3 linked regions of the Saccharomyces cerevisiae S288C genome follow. Changing the gene in region 1 together with any one later gene gives a genetic interaction. Each region holds a gene or a part of one and is shown in the gene's direction. Other genes may lie near its edges.

What was found. Genes that interact genetically often act in the same process or in processes that back each other up.
Region 2: mutations in GAB1 (region 1) and RLM1 together harm fitness more than expected from each alone (negative genetic interaction), as found in Saccharomyces cerevisiae (3 studies listed by BioGRID).
Region 3: mutations in GAB1 (region 1) and FYV8 together harm fitness more than expected from each alone (negative genetic interaction), as found in Saccharomyces cerevisiae (3 studies listed by BioGRID).

The regions. Positions count from the first base shown.
Region 1 is NC_001144.5:1,055,642-1,063,059, forward strand, and holds GAB1 (GPI-anchor transamidase subunit GAB1), read left to right. Parts: upstream 1-1,692; coding exon 1,693-2,877; downstream 2,878-7,418. Other genes in the region: YLR456W (pyridoxal 5'-phosphate synthase), read left to right, coding at 1-43; NBP1 (Nbp1p), read right to left, coding at 171-1,130; YLR460C (uncharacterized protein), read right to left, coding at 4,116-5,246; seripauperin PAU4, read left to right, coding at 7,278-7,418. UniProt on the Saccharomyces cerevisiae protein: Component of the GPI transamidase complex. May be involved in the recognition of either the GPI attachment signal or the lipid portion of GPI.
Region 2 is NC_001148.4:376,707-383,483, reverse strand, and holds RLM1 (Rlm1p), read left to right. Parts: upstream 1-2,333; coding exon 2,334-4,364; downstream 4,365-6,777. Other genes in the region: YDC1 (alkaline dihydroceramidase), read right to left, coding at 1-29; YPL088W (aldo-keto reductase superfamily protein), read right to left, coding at 491-1,519; 40S ribosomal protein eS6 RPS6A, read left to right, coding at 5,089-5,094, 5,489-6,193; glutathione-disulfide reductase GLR1, read right to left, coding at 6,531-6,777. UniProt on the Saccharomyces cerevisiae protein: May function as a transcription factor downstream of MPK1 that is subject to activation by the MPK1 mitogen-activated protein kinase pathway. Binds to the DNA sequence 5'-CTA[TA](4)TAG-3'. At least some RML1 target genes are involved in cell wall biosynthesis.
Region 3 is NC_001139.9:887,320-894,493, reverse strand, and holds FYV8 (Fyv8p), read left to right. Parts: upstream 1-2,307; coding exon 2,308-4,761; downstream 4,762-7,174. Other genes in the region: SNG1 (Sng1p), read left to right, coding at 354-1,997; exosome non-catalytic core subunit SKI6, read right to left, coding at 4,872-5,612; XKS1 (xylulokinase), read left to right, coding at 6,619-7,174.

The DNA.
Region 1 (7,418 bases):
AAATAATACTTCTACATACGGCCAAACAGTACAACCAGTTTAACGGAAATATGATGAAAACTATGTGTACTCTAATTATTATATAAAGCATCTATAAAATGAATCATGAGGATTAGGCCGTGATCTTCGCGCTCCATATATGGAGAATACTTTTAATTTCACAGGAGAAATTAAGATAAATAACTTGAAAAGTCCACTGAGATTGGTGAAAGTGTTTCATCCTCTTTTTCAGTTTCCCTTGAACGATAGGGTGGAGTGGGACAGGCGGGAGATATGTTTTCCTGTAACGGCTGCATCTCTGGTATATTTCCATCCCGATTATATGTTTTCATGGGGCTGGAAGTGAATAATGAATTCGTTCTTCTTATTGGAGACGGGGAAAGATCAATTTTCAAGGGCTTAATCTCATCGTTTTCTCTAGCTAGATTAGACATGGTTCTCCTAGATTTGGTGTATGATGGATGAATGTTTGAAGAATCTAGTAAATCCTCCAAAATCCTGTACTTCTCATTTGAGTAATTCAATGCTTCTTGTAATGATTGTAGCTTGCTTTCCAAGGCTTTTATTTTCTCATCTCTTTTCTTAATTTGCCGCTGTAGAAGAATTTCTCTATCTAAGTATAATGATTGATTTCTATCTTTTCCACTCGACCCGTCAGAACTACCACTTCTTAGTTCACTGATCCGTTGCTTATTGTATTTCAACTCCGATATCTTTCTCTTAAAGGCATCACTCCTTAGGATCCTAGATTTGGCTGTATCTGTGTCCATATAAGAAGGTCTTCCCTGGGATCTCTTCTTCAAAATTCTAGTCATGTCGCCACAAACATTTTGCATCTTGCTCATATTTTCATTATCATTGGAAAAAACATCTCTGATTGTCTGGAATATCTTTGTTAACCTTCGTTTGGGTGTTTTCCTCCTGTTAGTACGAATTTTTTCTTCAGTTTTCCTATCTGTCACCTTTCTAGGTCTTTTTAGAACGCTTTTACCCGTAGGACGCATCTGCTTTCTTCTGCTCCTTAAGGCAGATCGTTTTCTCACTTCATCAAGGGACCCGTATTCTCGTTTCCTGCCATCATCTCGTATTCCAAAAAAATCTTTCCACAGTCCCTGTACGGATTTTAGCATATTACCAATGTCTATTATTGTACCTTTCTCTTCAGAGTATCTACTTGTTCATGTTCAGCAATAATTTCATAATTGTTGATGCGCGCATCGTTTCTATACTATGACGCGTCACGAATTGTGCTAGAGTGGCCTCTAATGAAAGTATAAGAGGCGTTGGCGAAGGTCAAGGATAGACCATTGGCTGTTTCGGATGAGTTATTTTTAAAGTGTAAAGGTATAACATCAAATGAATGAAAATTAACATTGATCTCAGCTCTCAATTTCTTTCCTCATTTGTTTTCGATGTTTCTATATGAGTATACATTAAACAAGTAAATCTCAAGCTCTTGTCAAAACAGTTATTTCCAACATATCTATCTGCATTATTGGTAGCATAATTCTCAAAGGAAGCTAAAACATCCTTCTTAAAGACGTCTATTGGCAAACGATATGTTACGTATTCCGGGTAAAACAAATATTCCATTAAGTGAAATGACCTTTGTTTTCAAAACTAACCAGTTTTAGAACAGTAATTCATATAAACAACGTGATCTTATATGAAAAACTCACCAAAAGGAGACCAATGGATTCCACAGCACTTAAGGTAGCTCTAGGCTGTATTGCAATTCGTTTGGCTGTGAACAGCCTTTTTCCCTCTCTACAACAACAACTGGACCAGTCTGTAGAATTCTCAACTCCCGTAACTTCATTTAGGTCACTACAGGAAGGTATATACCTACTGCGGAACAACATCCAAGTATATAATCATGGGGTTGTTCACCATCCTCCAATTTTGATTTTTTTTCTTTCCCTCTTTAATTCCGACAGGTTAATTTCCCTCATATACGCTTTAATTGATGGATTAATTGCGTATCAGCTGACAGAGGTAACAAAGGCTTTCAAAAACTTGAAACTGAAAGTTTGGCTACCTGGACTTCTTTATGCCGTGAATCCTTTGACCCTTTTATCGTGCATTAGTCGGTCATCAATCATATTCACAAATTTTGCTATTTCATCGTCATTGTATTGCATATTAGCTGAAGGAAACGTTCTTTTGTCCTCTGTTATGATTTCTATATCTGGATATTTGTCAGTATACCCTATTCTCCTCTTAATTCCGCTATTAGGTATGCTGAAAAGTTGGAGGCAAAGAATATTATCTGCCATTGTTTCCATACTATCTTTATTAATTCTGCTATTATTCAGCTACAGTATATTAGGCAGCCAAAGTTGGTCATTTTTGACACAGGTTTATGGATCTATTATAACCTTTGAGAAGGTTTTTCCAAATCTGGGTTTGTGGTGGTACTTCTTCATTGAAATGTTTGACACCTTCATACCGTTCTTCAAGGCTGTATTCAACATTTTTATTGCAGTATTCATTACACCATTTACTTTGCGCTATCATAAGCAGCCATTCTACGCATTCATTTTATGCATTGGGTGGATTGTCCTTACAAAGCCATATCCCTCACTAGGTGACGCTGGTTTTTTCTTCAGCTTCCTACCTTTCTTCACGCCACTATTTGGATATTTAAGATACCCCATCATATCAGCATTACTGTTTTTACACGCAATTGTTTTGGCGCCAATTTTCTATCATCTTTGGGTTGTTTTAGGTTCAGGGAATAGTAATTTTTTCTATGCTATTTCCCTAGTTTATGCTCTGGCTATAGCATCTATATTAGTTGACTTGAACTGGGCGATGCTGAGAATTGAATACGATAACGGTATCCCAAATTTCAAATTGAAGGTAACACAAATTTAACTACTTCCCGTCTATAAACGTACATAAACTAGAATAAAAAGAACCATACAGATGTTCATCGTAAGAGTGGATAAAGCGAATATGAGAGCCATATTGGTTATTCCAGAGGCTATCTATTTTTTAAGAGAAACTGCTTGGTTAAAATTTGCATAATATTGTCTCGGAGAGAAAAGATAGAACTCAGAAGGACCTAATTAATCATGAGCGTTATAATACGAAGAATTGAGATAGAGTGTATGATCTGCGGATTAAGCTCCTACATAATAACAACATTGTACTTGGGACTATGCCAATTTCTTTCCCACCAAAAGTCGTATGAAAAAGGTTATCTTCGCTAGGGCTTCCATTAGGTGAAAGCCAATATATTATCATAGAATAGCACGGCATAAATATATATTTTGTGCTGTCTTTTTGGGAAGGGTAGTTTGACAACCCATGTACATTAACATAAAAAGAGCTTTATCATTAACGGACGAAGAAAGAATGTGTATCGCGTATTTTTAGACTATCGATAATCTTTTTTAAAGTTATGGTAGATAGAAGATGGAATCAGTTACGAAGTGATGAGTTCCCATACATTCCAGCCTGTTTACATTAGCTAATTTAAAAAAAAAAAACATAATTAGAATATTACGTGATGACTCAGTTTAAACGGTACTCTGTAACACATCATTTCTATTTGTTGTTCTAAAACAGGTTCTACATATTTGGATCTGCTGTGAGAATGACCTAAAAGGTAAAACTCTCTTTGTAATAATCCAAGGAAAGTGGGAGTTCCTTGGGGAAGCTCTATTGCAATATATTGTAGTTTCCATTCAGCCTGCTTATCGCCTTAGGAAAAAGGAATGTAAGAGGCAGAAAAGTGCGGCGCAATCGTTCGGACAGCGAGCCGCCATTATAGGTAAGAATACTTAAAGAGCTTCGCCGGATATTATTACAGTGTATTAAATTTCGCCAAGTCTTTGCCAATGGAAATGGGTGCATAAATTTATGTGCTTGGTACATATGAGTTCAATAGATATGTAGTAGTTGGATAGTAGATAGTTAGGATATATAATCATGGAAGGGTTACTCACAACGAATCACATAATGAGTTATGATTTTCACTGTGCTCATCTGTTGCCCCTACAAGGGGTGATCAATAACAAACAATTTCATTAAAAAAAAAAAAAAAACTAAGTCACTATAACTAAACGTAATAACTATGTATATGAAAGAAAATAATATCTGTTCGTCATCTAGTTTAATACGGCAACGAGTTTTTCACCAGAGTTCTTACCATATTTGATGTCTTTTAGGATATGAGGAACATCACAAAGCCCGTTCTTATAGACCCTTACTGGAATATGGCGAATTTGTCCATCATTAATCTTTGGATTGATGAATTTGATAAATTTTATTGCAGCTTTCCTAGCTTCTGAGTCGGCTGGTAAAGTAATGTTTCCAAATGGTACTTCATGGCCACCTATTGAATATAGCCTTATTATGTCAATAGTAACGTTTTGTCTCCTGTTCTCTTTTTTGACGTTTTCTTCTGTCAAATTTTTTAATTCAACAATTGTAGCATCCTGTTTATCGGCCGCACATTTGTACACTTGTTGAAGCGTATCTTGATTCGCGACACAGTCGACTAAATACGAGATATTGTTGTACTTGTGTTTAATTTGTTCTACCACGTCAATATCATGATAATCAAATAATTCATCAGCACCATATTCTTTCAAAAGTTTTTCGTGCTTCCGAGAAGCCACAACAATGATCTTGGTGAAGCCATTCAATTTATTGGCTAATTGGATGAGCGACTGACCTACTGCAGTTGCACCGCCCCATAATAAGATGGGGCCTTTTCTTTGTGGGGTTGATGGCTCCCACTTCAGGTCCAAGCCCAAGTTATAGGTCAACACCAAGCCGGCTGTGGTCAGTGACACTGGGATAGTGGCTACACCTTCCAAAGACCTGACAGGGCCGGCAGGTAGAACATCCTCACCCAAAAATTTGAGTTCATTGGGTGATTTGTAGGCAACCACAGTTGAAATAGCAGAATATTCAGCAAAAGCACCATTGGAAGGAAACCTTACGGAAGATCCGTGAATGAACCCATAAATATAATCACCGATAGAAAAGTCTTTAGGATTGACAGCTGGGCCCAATTTGACAATTTGGCCAGCAGCATCACATCCCAGAATAGATCCTTGAGGCCCGATCTTGTAGTCAATGTGTGCCCAATCAGTGGGGTTACCAGCAACAGCGAGTGTCTTAATCAATACGAATCCTTCTTCCAATTCAGGAATGGGAATGCCCTCTTTAACAACCGCTTTACCGTCTTCAATGACGACAGCCTTCATGGTTTCTGGAATTGCAACTTGCATGTTTGTAGGTTATCTGTAATTGTCGTTGATAATCTGTATTCAGCTTGCCATTTTATAGAATATGGTTAGAAAGATCTTAAGCTAGATAAAGAAAAAGAAAAAAATAGAAAAAAGCCTGCCCGCTTTATAAGAACTTTTCTCAATATCTGTTGAGGAACACTTAGTAATATCGTCTATCATGGTTGCTTTATTCTTAGTGATATTACTCTCTGGGATTCGATGTGTTCTCATCATCTGAAGGGTTTTCTATGTGTTGAAAGCCTATCCCACTAGACGGAGCCGCGCGTCAGCCGGGCGGATCCGAGACATCTTAGTCAGCTGAGACAAGAAAGGCACAGCTCTCGGACAGGAACTGCTGTCATATGAAAACCTAAAAATGTTTCCTGGAAATTCCATGACTGCGCAAAGTTTGATACGTTTATTGTTCTTCTCCACTACCGCACTTTCTATCTCGGAAACCTTTCAACTAAATGAACTATTGTTAATTGTATGGCGTGTGGCCTTTCTATTTCAGAAAATTTAGAGTAAAGTAAACTCCGTCGGACTAGTATAGTAATGAAACAAGCCATTGACTCTGCAGCATATTGCGACCAAAACCTGGAAATTGGTGGCTATGAGTTTTAATTTATAATTATATGAAAACAAAGCTTGGAATGCTGAGTACTTTTTCTTCAATGCTGCTCACTGCCCAGAAGCGTTCAGAACAACTCTACTGGAGCCATTCTGCTTGAAGGAGGATAAAAATGCCAAGATCAAGTCTTTTAAAGATTCTATCCCTTTTCATCGAAGAAGCACTACAAGTTTATTTTACAGAAGTTGACAAACTGTGGAACTTGATCCATACTGAATAAGTATGGAAAACTGTTAACTTAGAGGATGCTCTGCTTTCTAAAGAAGTTTCACAGCTTTAGACTCACATGGGTTCTCATGAGTATTGCTAGCTAGTGCGAGTTTGATCTATACTTCACAGACTTTTAACACCCCGTTCCTTAAGTTTTCCCTGATTATCAAGGGTATTTCCAATTCTTACTCCCCACTATCGCTCCTTTCTTATCTGAATTGTATTTTTGAGTGGCCTAATTGTAATCTTTTATTTTGTTTTCTAATTATTGAAGGCGGTTTCTCGAAGCATTTCACGATTTCCAAAATTCAAGAATTGAAATTATGAACATAGAAGACAAAATACTTTTTTTATCAACTATTAATACACCTTTCCTAGAGAACATTTTTAAAATAAAATAAAATAAAGTAGCGCTCTCTACTACCCTTACACTTTTCTCCTTCATATCTGGCTAGAAAAGAGGGATTACATCTCGGAATCAAATATTTCCCTCTGTGCAAAGTTTTAATACTGCTACTACGAACTGGTTACAATTTTATTTTTATCATACACGATACTTTGAACATCAACTTCTCTCAATACCATCCGCCTTCAGCGGCTACAATTACGTAATTGCACCAAGGCATTCGCCGAGAGTTCACAAATTGCAGACCCTAACAGTATACGACTCCCAACACACGTTTAATGTTGTACGAATTCAAGAGATAGAAATGCTTCTTCCGCGGAAGCCGTTTAAAGCACTGAAATTAGGCTTAGACAATAGACTTCTGTACGAGGGTCCAAATCTAAAATTCAGATATTCTTTTTGACCGAAAACGGAAATCACAGGCGCGCAAAAGGGTTTTTCAAGGTACCCCGGCATCCCTATAATAGGCATTCCCACATTCTGCGCATACGAATACACATGAGTGCCATAAAACAATACTCCACATACGAAGTCTATGAAAGATGTATGATTCGTTCAGAAACAAGAGCATTTCCATACTGATAATGAGATTGTGTGAAAGATGAGATATGGAGGATATGTGAGGTGCTAAATGAGCGTCTGTTAACGAATCGTTTAAATAGTGATGACTGATGAAGGCATGGGTATAAATAGAGCTGCTTCAACTGTATGCCTTTGAGAATATGTCTTTATTCCTTTCTTTCCTGTTAAGCTTATATCAGCACTAACAAACAAAACAAATACAATGGTCAAATTAACTTCAATCGCCGCTGGTGTCGCTGCCATCGCTGCTACTGCTTCCGCAACCACCACTATAGCTCAATCTGACGAAAGAGTCAACTTGGTTGAATTGGGTGTCTACGTCTCTGATATCAGAGCTCACTTG
Region 2 (6,777 bases), on another chromosome or scaffold:
GCTTCTGGATAAGGCCAGCTGAACAGCATTTGATTTTTTTCTTTATCTTACTTTCTTAAAAATTCACTAGGTTCTATGATATATCCTTTTGCTTAAATTCTTGAATTGAAAAACGAAGAACAATGCAGATAAACCAGATAGTTATTTCCTTTTTTTTTTTCACTATTAGCAAATATTCAAAGATTGAAGCATGCAATAGAAAGAAAGCAAGCGAAGTAAAATAAGAAAGGCACACCTGTCATTATGGCATTATAAAAAGAAACTGATGGATAAGTTGCTTTCAGGAAATCTGATCCCCTGATTCTGTAGGTTGGCGTACGCTATCGGACATGCTATGCCACTCTCCGGGAACGAGGGATTTAAAAAAGGGACATGAAGTAATATGAGCCGAATGGCTACGATCAGTAAAAATCAGCAGGTGTCATGTTACAGTATATATGATTCTCGTTATTTAGCCTTCTATATATCAGTGGGCCCATGAAAATCTAACTTAACATCTTTGCCTCTGGGGTTTGTAGGGCTCCTCGAGGTACTTTATCTCTTCTTCTGTTAGAGTTACTTGTAGTGCGGCAATCGCTTCGTCTACTCTTGCTGTAGTGTTCAATCCCACAATAGGGTGACATCCTTTATGCAAAACCCATGCAATGGAGAGCATAGCCATCGAGACTTTTTTGTCCTTCGACACCTTTTCCACACGATTTATAATTTCCTTTTGTTCTTCTTCGAGATTATCCAAATGTAACGACTTGAAAGTTGGATCACTCTTAATCCTGTCCGTGCTTTGGTTCAGAGGACGAGTCAACATGCCTCGTGCGTTAGGAGACCATGGAAGTAAACCAATATTGTGTCTTTTGGCAAAAGGAATCAATTCGCGTTCATCTTCACGATAGAGCAAATTGTAGTAAGACTGCGAAGAAATGAACTGAAACCAGCCATATTTATCGGCTGTGAACTGCAGTTCTGCAAATTCAGTTGCCAACATACTCGAAGCCCCAATGTATCTAACGTGGCCCGCTTCAACAACATCATTCAATGCCTTCATGATCTCTTTCATTGGCGTTTCATGATCTAATCTGTGAATTTGTAAAAGGTCTATATATGTGCCCAGTCTTTTCACAGAGTTCTCGACACCAGCAATTATATGCTTTCTGGATAAACCCCGCTGGTTGGACAAGTCCAATTCTTCAAATTCATTTAAAGTGAAGTTATGATGCAAATCAAGCGTTTCATCAACTGGGAAGTAAATTTTGGTCATAATCACCACCGTTTCTCTCTTTATACTGTAGTACTCCAGAAACTCCTTAATTATTCTTTCACTCAAACCATTAGAATAAAAATCTGCTGTGTCAAAAGTACGAAGACCTTTATCGTAACAATGCTTCATAATCTTGAAAATTTGGGTCTTGTCCTCTATGACCCAGTCCGCCCATTTCTTGGACCCGTATGACATACATCCTATCACTATCGGTGATATCTTAAGACCTGAGTTACCGAGTCTTACCTGCTTAACTAAAACCATTTCTGCCGCCTGATGTGGGTCTTCCGTAACAGCCAAATTACATAGTTGGCAAGACAATTAATATATGATACCTTGTTCTCTGGGTCCTAATATATATATATATATATATATATATACGAAAAGGCTGAGAAGAATAAGGCAGATGTTAGCTTAGCTTCTTTTACTCAAGCAATGAAAACAAAATCGAAGGGAAACAAATTCAAACCAAGCGGCCGAGTTATCTCCCGTTCCTAACCTACTACACTAATCACATTTTTCCGTGGAAATAACGTTATTGAAAATGCGTTCTTGCCTGCCATACGTGGGTGAAATACTTCCACGTTCGCAAAAAATACTTCCACGGTGACGAAGTCTGTCTCAGTCGTATATTAAATGCAGAAATCGTCTTATCATTATTGGGCTCTCTTAACGGCGCAGCATCACCGGGTGATGAATGCCAAGCCGCAGAAAGAAAGAAAAAAATTTACTTCAGATTTCTGATAAAAATAAAACGGAAGAGATGAAAGCTAATAATAGAAACAGCTCGATCTTCCTCTGAACAATAATAATTAAAGGACAGACAAAAAGAAACGTAAGAAAGAAGCGAGCCTGTTCTAAAGTGTTCAACGACTGATTCAATTAGAACTGCCTACTCCTGATAGCCAACTCAACTTTTGACTCGTTAAAGTAATTGAAAGCTGGCAAGCAGAATTATTCTTTTTTTTTTTCAAGGTTTCTATCACGTTGTGAGGTTAATATCCCCCGGAGCAAACAGGCTGAAGCGTGAAAAAAACTTAAATATTAAAGTGTCGCAAAACTATACTATAGATACAACATGGGTAGACGGAAGATTGAAATCCAGAGAATTTCTGATGACAGAAATAGGGCTGTCACGTTTATAAAACGTAAAGCTGGCCTTTTTAAGAAGGCCCATGAACTATCCGTTCTTTGTCAAGTAGACATAGCCGTCATTATACTGGGGTCCAATAACACGTTCTATGAGTTTTCCTCTGTGGATACGAATGATTTAATCTATCACTACCAAAATGACAAAAACTTGCTTCACGAAGTGAAAGATCCTTCCGATTATGGAGACTTTCACAAAAGTGCATCCGTTAACATAAATCAAGACCTACTCAGGTCGTCTATGTCAAATAAGCCTTCGAAATCAAATGTTAAAGGAATGAACCAGTCAGAAAATGATGATGATGAGAACAATGATGAGGACGACGATGATCATGGCAATTTTGAGAGGAATTCAAATATGCATTCGAATAAAAAAGCCTCTGATAAAAATATACCGAGTGCACACATGAAGTTGTTATCCCCGACCGCACTCATTTCAAAGATGGATGGTAGTGAGCAAAATAAACGTCATCCTGAGAACGCGCTGCCGCCTTTACAACATTTGAAAAGATTGAAACCGGATCCTTTGCAAATAAGTAGAACTCCGCAACAGCAACAGCAGCAAAATATATCGAGACCATACCATAGTAGCATGTACAATCTTAACCAGCCTTCATCCAGTTCATCTTCTCCTTCCACGATGGATTTTCCAAAATTACCAAGCTTTCAAAACTCTTCCTTTAATGGTCGTCCTCCACCCATTTCCATTTCACCGAACAAGTTCAGTAAGCCATTTACAAATGCATCCTCAAGGACCCCTAAACAGGAGCACAAAATTAACAATAGTGGCAGCAATAATAATGACAACAGCAACTACACTCAGTCACCATCTAATTCTTTGGAAGACTCTATTCAGCAGACTGTCAAAGCAAGAAGGAAATTGTCCGCCAGACCGGTACTTCGTGTGAGAATTCCGAACAACAATTTCAGCAGTAATTCCGCTATTCCAAGTGAACCCTCCTCTGCCTCCTCCACATCGGCCAACGGCAATAGTATGGGCTCTTCGCAGATAATGAAAGAAAACAAAACAAGTAGGTCTAGCAAAATTTCTCCACTATCCGCATCTGCCTCAGGCCCCTTAACTCTCCAAAAAGGTAATAATGGCAGAATGGTAATAAAATTGCCAAATGCAAATGCGCCTAACGGTTCTAACAATGGTAATGGCAGTAACAATAACAATCACCCTTATCCTTTCGGAAGTGGGTCTTCACCTCTTTTTTCTGCAACACAGCCATACATTGCCACTCCCTTGCAACCATCGAATATTCCTGGCGGACCTTTCCAACAAAATACATCTTTTTTAGCTCAAAGACAAACCCAGCAATACCAACAAATGTCTTTCAAAAAACAGAGCCAAACAGTACCATTAACTACAACATTAACCGGACGCCCCCCTTCAACTTTTTCCGGCCCTGAAACCAGCAATGGCCCTCCAACTGGTTCACTGCCATCGAAGTTCGTACATGATTTGATGAGTAATTCTCCAAATGTTTCTTCTATATCGATGTTTCCAGACTGGTCAATGGGACCCAACAGTGCCAAGCCGGGAAACACAAACAATCCTGGTACTTTCCCTCCCGTACAGACGGCCGTAAACAACGGCAACTCCAGCAATATCAGCAGCACTAACAACACTAACAACAACAACAACAATAACAACAACAACAGCAGCAACAACAACAGCAACAACGGCAACGACAATAACAGTAACAATAGCAATAACAGTTACTATAGTAATAATGAAGATGCACCCGTAAATGGAGCTGCTATTTCAGAACATACTACCGATGGTGACTCGAACAATCAGTCCAACTCAAGTACATATGATGCTGCTGCCACCGCATATAATGGAAATACCGGGCTGACTCCATACATAAATACTGCTCAAACACCACTAGGCACTAAATTCTTTAATTTTTCGACTGATATTTCAGGAGAAAAAAATTCAAGCAAAATATAAACCAAAAAATTTGACCAGTATGAATATTCCAAGCATAAGAAACTTCTTTTCATTTAAAAAATTTATATTTATATTATTGTAAATGCACATATTTACGTAGTGAATAACCCAAACAAGGAAGAAAAACGAAAAACTCAATTGCATTTTCTGAATAATGATAGTATTTAAGTACTCTTTTGTGCATTAGCAACTAAAATGAATTGCCGCCTGGCCTGGAGTTTGATGTAAGCAGAAGCCGGAAGAAGACAAGAGGTTCATTCAGAGAAAACATCCGTACATTCGAGTTCTCATTGAACCCATACATTTCAACTATTTTTACATAGTTCGTTTTTCATGTGTAAAATTGTCATCGACGCGCCGGAGCATCGGAAAGTTGGAACGTGCGCGATTGCACCAATCCCACTGGGGCCGTGCATTCTGTAGGCAGGAAGCCACTGGACACTCTGCCCGTTCCCACTTGGAAGATTGGCGTAATTCCACGCTCCTCTATCGATTCTAGCGGGAAAGTTATCTCTCCTGGTAAGCGTTGGAGGAATGCCGCTACCTAGGTAAGTCTACTGGGTGGGAATTCCAGTACCGACGTCTAGGAACATCATGATGCTGCAGTTTCTTTGAAATTTCATATACAGTGTTACCAAGGATAAAGTGGTTAATGCTTATTCGTCATTGAATTTTTATATTTGCTTAAGAGAAGTGACAAAAGAGTGAAGACAGACTATACATCATGAAGGTATGATTTATGATACTATTATTGAGGGGCAACAGAGAACTTTATATGTGGAAAAATGGCATGAAAGTTTGAAAGTGAGAAAGAACTAAACAGAACCAGACGTCGTAAAGATTTTAGAAATTTTTTATGGAAAGAAGCAGGAAGACTACCATATACTAATTGATGCGTTTGTGGCGTTATTTTTAAACAAACAGAGCGGGTTTACATATACTGTTACTACAAACCGTGAAATTGAAGCAGTTCATATACTTGGAGTATAGTCAATAAAAGACAAGCTTTTTCATCTTCCACTTAATAATTTCTCTAGAGTAATAAACTTCACCCTATTCAAACATTAATTTTGCAATAGTATACTAACAAATTTTCTTAATAACCTGTTGAAAATTTAAAATAGTTGAACATTTCTTACCCAGTTAACGGGTCTCAAAAGACCTTCGAAATTGATGATGAACACCGTATTCGTGTTTTCTTCGACAAGAGAATCGGTCAAGAAGTCGATGGTGAAGCCGTTGGTGACGAATTCAAGGGTTACGTCTTCAAGATCTCTGGTGGTAACGACAAACAAGGTTTCCCAATGAAGCAAGGTGTTTTGTTGCCAACTAGAATCAAGTTGTTGTTGACCAAGAACGTTTCTTGTTACAGACCAAGACGTGATGGTGAAAGAAAGAGAAAGTCCGTCAGAGGTGCCATTGTTGGTCCAGATTTGGCTGTCTTGGCTTTGGTCATTGTCAAGAAGGGTGAGCAAGAATTGGAAGGTCTAACTGACACTACTGTTCCAAAGAGATTGGGTCCAAAGAGAGCTAACAACATCAGAAAGTTCTTCGGTTTGTCCAAGGAAGATGACGTTCGTGATTTCGTCATCAGAAGAGAAGTCACCAAGGGTGAAAAGACTTACACCAAGGCTCCAAAGATCCAAAGATTGGTTACTCCTCAAAGATTGCAAAGAAAGAGACACCAAAGAGCTTTGAAGGTCAGAAACGCTCAAGCTCAAAGAGAAGCTGCTGCCGAATACGCTCAATTGTTGGCTAAGAGATTGTCTGAAAGAAAGGCTGAGAAGGCTGAAATCAGAAAGAGAAGAGCTTCTTCTTTGAAGGCTTAAAGTTAGAAAGCAGTAAAAGATAAATTCTTTTGTTCAAAAACTCCTTTCTTATTCTGTATTTTGTGTATTTTTAAGCTTAAAATCAAATAACTTTATTTTTTATATAATTAACAAAAAGAAAAATAATCATATGTATTGTAAACGAGAGTCGGAATGTATCCTCAACTGAATATCCAAGCGAGTCCACAGTAGCTAATAGTCTGAAAAAAAAAGGAACCCTTGTCCTTGAACAGAAATGACAAAATTACTACGTATTTCAGGATGCTATATAAGATTGTTTACAAGAGTACAAAAGTCCAGTATAGCAACAGCAGATTGGACGTCTAGTTTCGTTGCTTCATCTCATAGTAACCAATTCTTCTGCGCTAGTCGGATGAATAGCAACACAATTATCGAAATCAGCCTTAGTGGCACCCATCTTTATAGCAACACCGAACCCTTGCAAGATTTCTGCAGAGGAATCACCAACAATGTGCAGACCGACAACCTTTTCATTTGGTCCCGCACAAACAATTTTATATCTTGTGGGTGATTTCTCACTCAACATAGCATAGTACATGGCGGTAAATTTGGAATTGTAGACC
Region 3 (7,174 bases), on another chromosome or scaffold:
TATTTCCGTGTATATGCGTGGTTATTCGTTTTCGAATCCTTTTATGAATGTCCGAGGAGGTGGTACAATCCGAAATAGACTAAAGAAAAGCGAAAGCCGTGAGTTTGTTTGATGATAGATGACTCGCAGCTTTGTCATCAACGGGCCACCCTATTCGAAGAAGGGAATGGAAAACGGACTGGCGTAGTCAATAAGCGTCTTCATATCTTAGCATTGTTGAGAGATACATAGTGTACTCCATATCGTTCTTTTTTTTTGTATATATCAAGCCACATATCCTGTTTCTTTAATCTTTTATACGCCGTAAGAATCGGGTACTGACATAAGTGTAAGTAGCCGTACAGAGAACAAATATGACTAAATCGGTTGGTGATGAAGAGTCACAGTACATTGAGGACCCTAGTTTTGCAGCAGCAGCTGCATTTACTGGCGGCAGGGACGGGGTTTCGTACAGTAATCAGCGATTTGCTGAGGGTTCCGGCCATTCTTCTGACTTAGCAAAGTCATTAGAAGACTATCGGCCTCCTGATGAAAAGCCGTCCTCATTGTCATCTGTGGGGGAAGGTGGCGCTAATGAGGAAGAGAAGGGCGGTAACGACGGCGGTCCCTTGGCAAGAATTCAAACAGGGCTTTTTTCTCCAAGACTGCGAAATCATAGGAAAAAGATTCTCTCGAAGTTTGTTTTGAACAACTTCTTCATTGCTTGTGTGTGTGTATCGCTCATATCGATTTACTGGGGTGCCTGTTACGGAACAGATCGTTACTTTTTCAAAGTGAAAAATATTGTTGTATTGCAGGATGCGCCATCTAATACTTCAGTTCAATCTATTTCCGCGATCATACCCTCATTGTTAGCGTCTGTCCCCGGGACATGGCATATATACAACGCAACATCATTTCATAGGAAATTTGGTACGACGAACTCCACCGAAATTGACAGAAAGATAGTCGATTTAATTTACGATGAGAGATACTGGCTGGCGTTAAACGTTAAACCTAATGCTACAGACACTTTGTATAATTCTTTGATTAGCCAAGACGCAAACTCGGAGTTCAATTCATCAATTTTTTTTGAATCCGTGTTTGAAAGTGGTCGTGACCCATCGAGTGTTAAATCGACCATTCTACCACTCATGCAACAATTGGAGGTCCGCCTTCAGAAATATTACGTCAAGGAATATCTTCCCTCATTGATGAGCAACATCACTTCTAATGACAGAGATCTTAATATAAACATGGAGAACTGGGCGATTGCAGGACAGTTGTTGTTCACCTACAACGATTATCGTCCCTTTGCTGATCGTATTCTAATGGCCCCTCTGCAGGTCGGTCTGATTTATTGTATTTTGTTAACCGTTTTACAACTGTCATTATATGGTAAGTTGCACGGAGAAATGGCCAGAGTTCTGAAGCCAAAGCATATTTTAATCTACAGGCTTCTAATTTCCTGGGCAACTTATTTTCTTCTTTCCATTGGATTCTGTACCGTATCTGCAATTTTTAGGATCGATTTCACCCCCGCCTTTGGCAGAGGAGGATTCGTAGTATATTGGATGTCTACGTGGTTGGTAATGATGGCTGTTGGTGGTGCCAATGAAAACGTTCTCAGCTTAGTTATAGCTTACTGCCCTCCATACCTGAGTATTTGGTTGATGACGTGGATCATATTAAATATTTCTGCTTCATTCTACCCAATGGTTTTGAACAACGAATTTTACAGGTACGGCTACATAATGCCAATCCATAATGCCGTGGATATCTATAAAGTGATTTTTTTGAATTTAACCAAAAGAAAAATGGGAAGAAATTACGGTATTCTCGTGGCATGGGTTGCCCTCAATACATCCTTGATGCCATTTTGTATGAAGTTTGCAGGTAAAAAAATGCAAAAAAATGCTATGCAAGCAGCAGAAGCCGCTGTCGCAGCAGCTACCCAGCGTGCTAGCCGCCCGGCAGAGGCCAATACTGATAAAAATAACAACCCGCCCGGAAATTAATGGGTAGGGTTAATAGCTTATTCATATATACACTTAATACGATTAAAAATTATTTATATTCTCATCATCATAAGATGAAGATGCAAATATCACAACAATTATATAACGTCGTTTGTTTGTTTGGTGACACATTAGTGTTTCATTCCGGGTAGCTATTTTGTTTTTCTCATGCCAAGAATTCTGTAAGGCACTTAAAAGTATTCCTAAATACCACTTTCATACATGGTTAACAAGGTAAACACAAAACTTGCATTATAGTTAAAAGGGACTGTTTGATCATTACCCTTTTTCTGGAAAGCGGATATTTATTATGAGCACTGAACAGGTCGGTAGAAAGAAATCGTATAGATGGGTTAGCGCATCTCAAGCAAGTTATGACGGCGCTGGATGGGACAGTAGTGACGAATATGACTACTCTTCCGAGGATGGCACAAAAGGTTCAGAAATTCACAAGCAAAAAATATCTAATTTGCCTAGTTTACCCAAGCTCAATTATACAGATGTTAATGGTGAGCATGATGAAAATACGGGTGAAAATAAAGACAGCAATGATAATAACGTCAGTAAGAGTGATATTAGTCCTAGTGACAAGGAAGTAGGCTATCTCTCAGATGGGGTGCCTAAACTTATGGCTTCAAGAGAGTCTGTGGAATTACAAGCGAAAAAATCCAGCGAGCACTCCAAATCAGATTATCTTTCGTCGACAGCATCTTTGAAAAGTCCAAGTGAAAACAAAAAATCACCACATACAAATAGGGCTGTAAACGAAGACCTAGACAATTTGATAGAGCAAATATCAAGGGAGATGACACCAGAAATTAGGCAAACATCTGATTTTCGGCGTGATTCAGACAGTTGTGACGAAATCCAAAACGAAGCACCATTAGGGGAAGCGGTACCCTCTTCATCATCTCCTGTAGAAGAAGATGAAAAATCACATTCCTTAGGGGTTTCAATGGATACTAATGAAGCTGATACCACTTTCAATACGCCAACAAGGAATGGAAATGAACATTTGAGTAGTGATGGCGATGTTTCTGAGCAGAAAGACGACGAGTTTAAAGTTTCCGAAAGAGGCTACCTTGCAGATATTCTGCCTGCGGAGAAAGAGGAGAATTTACAACAAGAAGATGATGGTGAAGTCGAGAGCTCAGGAGCTTTGGAAAAGAAAGAAAAAAGTGAAGAAAAGACTAGTATTAGGAATAGGAACTCTACATCTAGTGGGCAAGATAAAGTAGCAAAGCCGAAACCCGTAGCAAATGAAACAAAAACTAGTGATAATGGATATCGAAATTCTTTTTTCAATGATTATCAGCATTCGTCAGACTCTGAAGAAGATGATAACAACGAAGGCAACAGTGGTAGTAGTGATGATGATAATCGATCTTCGGTTAGTGATAAACATGCTGATATTAACCGGCAATCGAAACAACTTGATACAACTGACGATGATGCATTGTCGTATACCGAATCAATAAAATATTCGACAAATGAGACAGAAGAAGAAGATAATGAAGATAATGAATCCATAGAAGACAAAAACGAAGATAATGAATCCATAGAAGACGAAAATGAAGATACAGATAGCTATAAATTTTCTAATAGGGAAAAAGGTTCCATTCTACTTACGAGTGATGAAGAGGAGGAGGAAAAAGGTATGAGCTCTGATTCAGATGAAGGCAGTCTCAAGGCGCCCAAATCAGGTTATTTCTCCAAAATGATTGGTAATGATGATAAAGGTGATTCAGCATTGCAACCTAATCAAATAGACACCATTGAAAATACCAATTTGTCAAATAGCGGTTCTGAATTGGAAAACAGCGATGGCAGCGATGAGGAAGACCACATAAATGAAGACAAAGTTTTGGAAGAAAGTTCAGTTAAAGACTCCACTGATGTTGATTCTTGGAAGCCGGACAGTGAGGCCTTACGATCAGGGTTCGTACAGGATACAGCCAATAAGAAAGCGCCACCAGGTTACGTGATCGATTCTAACGGGAAGCTAGTAGATTTAACACCTGCTAGTATGAAACCACGTGTTGTATCGACTTATTCAGAGATGGAGAGTACTTGGGATGCATTCCCTTCCAAAGGCGAAGATGACGATTTGGAGACAATCAGGGACACTAAGACTATATACGACAACAATACGATTTATAATGTTCCCGGTTTGATTGGTAACCAATCGAATTTGCCACCTCTACCGATGGACGCACAGGAACAATTAAATGCAGGAAACGATAATAGTACAACAGATAATGATAATAGTAACAATACTGCCAATGATTTGGCAGCGCGCAGTGCATCTTTCAAAAGTGAAAACAGAACAGTATCTCAAGGCGAAATGACAAGCGTCCATGAACCCAGTACTGAAGAAATGGCGAAATTGGGGCAGCAGAATAACTTACCGAAATTAGATATGAATAAACTACTGAACAGTAAGACTTCGCACGCCGGTAAGATAGAACAGTTGAGAAATTATAAGCGTGAGCTAGATGAATATGATACGGGGATACAAACATGGATAAATTATACGCTAAAATCATCCTCTAATAAGGATAAGGATTTCATAGCTGAGGAGTATAAGCAGCATAGTCACGTTAGGGAAGCATATGCGAACGCGGACGATTTGAGTAAGAAGCATACTGTCATTAACACGGTTGCTAGTGTCAACCAAAATGTAACGCACTTAAGGAGAAAAGTTTTCCAGCATTCTATGAAACCAAAGGATTTATTCGCATCAATAGGTAAGAAAAAACTGTAAGCGTTTTGCTTTACGGTAGAAACACGAAAATGTAAATGCGTTCAATTTTCAATTTTACTGTTTTTTATGTACTTTTATATAAACAGTGGCAATTAATGGCGTTTTTTATTCTACCTAGCAGAGGCGTTACTGACTCTTTTCTGAGCATGTTTCCTCAGTTCTTCATCCATCAAATCTCTTACCCTATGAGCACCTGCGATGCCGATGGCAAGAACGTTCTCTAACCTATCTAACGGAATTTTGTCTTCCACCAATAAAAGAGAAAGTTTTTCTGACTTCCCTACCACACCTAGTGTCACTGTACTCATAGCATTTTCTTCTAATGAATTGGTATCTAATAATGGGGTAGTATCGTACAGCCCGACGGATATACCACTTATGTAATCGAACATTGATATACCGGCATCTATTAAAGCGAGGGTAATACCGTTGATTAAAGATCCCATAATACCGCCATCTTGCTCAAGGACATGGATCTCGATATCGATAACTGTTCTGGGGTAGATATTCAGCATGACATTCTTCTCAAACATCCTCACCAGGGAGGTTTGTATCTCAAGAACACGCCTTTCATTCTTGTGGCTTGATTTACTTCTTTCGAATTTGGAGAATTTTGTAATGTTTACCGATACGTTCAATAAAGCCTTTGAGGTATCCATTTGAGATTTCAATCTTGGCTCTTTTGGACCTTTAACAAGAGTGATAATTTTGTTGTTACCTTGTTCCATGTAGGATGAACCGTCTGCAGCGTGCGGATGTGTGTTGATGGAACTTTCAAAACGGCGGAGTTCATTCCATCGACGTCCATCGAGACGTAGCCCTTCTGGCGAGTATATTTCTAGTCTTGACATATGATGATCCTGCTGTAGTTATGGCACTAAAGTTTTTTTGTAAATCTTTTTATATGTTAATAGATTTTACCAGTGGGACCCTGGAAAGAAAATATGTGTAAATGATGTTTTCTTTTGGATGATGTTCATTGCACAATGGTTCGCAATGTCATTCATTCATCCATTTCTTCTAGCTTTTCAATTATTAATGCCTTAAAATTTTTCAATTTCACCGCGTTACCCGAAGATGTAAATGTACCTACTCAAATAAAAGGTTCCTTGCTGGTTGGCTTTCGTAGCTAAATTGAGTGCACGTTACAAGATTATAAATGCGTTTATATATATATATTCCAGTGAATGATCTACTTTTGCTTAAGCGGCAGAATTGCAAATCTTAATTTTTCTTTTTTGTTTATGTTTTATTTCCTTGTGACAAATAAAATTTTTTTCTCTTCTGAATTTTTAAAACTAAAGAACAAAATATTAAAATAAACAAACAATTCTCCACTTTTTCTTCTTTTGGTATAGAAACTGATAGAAATGTCCTAGACCCTTAATAAGCAAAACACTCATCATTATAACGGGAAAAAATTTGAAGCAAGCTCAAAAGAGATATATATATCATCCAGCATAGACTACTATTAATTTCTATCATAATTGCAATAAAAAAGGAAATATTTAGGGGATCAAGACCATTATTCCATCAGAATGGAAAAAAGTTTAAAAGATCACGGAGATTTTGTTCTTCTGAGCTTCTGCTGTCCTTGAAAACAAATTATTCCGCTGGCCGCCCCAAACAAAAACAACCCCGATTTAATAACATTGTCACAGTATTAGAAATTTTCTTTTTACAAATTACCATTTCCAGCTTACTACTTCCTATAATCCTCAATCTTCAGCAAGCGACGCAGGGAATAGCCGCTGAGGTGCATAACTGTCACTTTTCAATTCGGCCAATGCAATCTCAGGCGGACGAATAAGGGGGCCCTCTCGAGAAAAACAAAAGGAGGATGAGATTAGTACTTTAATGTTGTGTTCAGTAATTCAGAGACAGACAAGAGAGGTTTCCAACACAATGTCTTTAGACTCATACTATCTTGGGTTTGATCTTTCGACCCAACAACTGAAATGTCTCGCCATTAACCAGGACCTAAAAATTGTCCATTCAGAAACAGTGGAATTTGAAAAGGATCTTCCGCATTATCACACAAAGAAGGGTGTCTATATACACGGCGACACTATCGAATGTCCCGTAGCCATGTGGTTAGAGGCTCTAGATCTGGTTCTCTCGAAATATCGCGAGGCTAAATTTCCATTGAACAAAGTTATGGCCGTCTCAGGGTCCTGCCAGCAGCACGGGTCTGTCTACTGGTCCTCCCAAGCCGAATCTCTGTTAGAGCAATTGAATAAGAAACCGGAAAAAGATTTATTGCACTACGTGAGCTCTGTAGCATTTGCAAGGCAAACCGCCCCCAATTGGCAAGACCACAGTACTGCAAAGCAATGTCAAGAGTTTGAAGAGTGCATAGGTGGGCCTGAAAAAATGGCTCAATTAACAGGGTCCAGAGCCCATTTTAGATTTA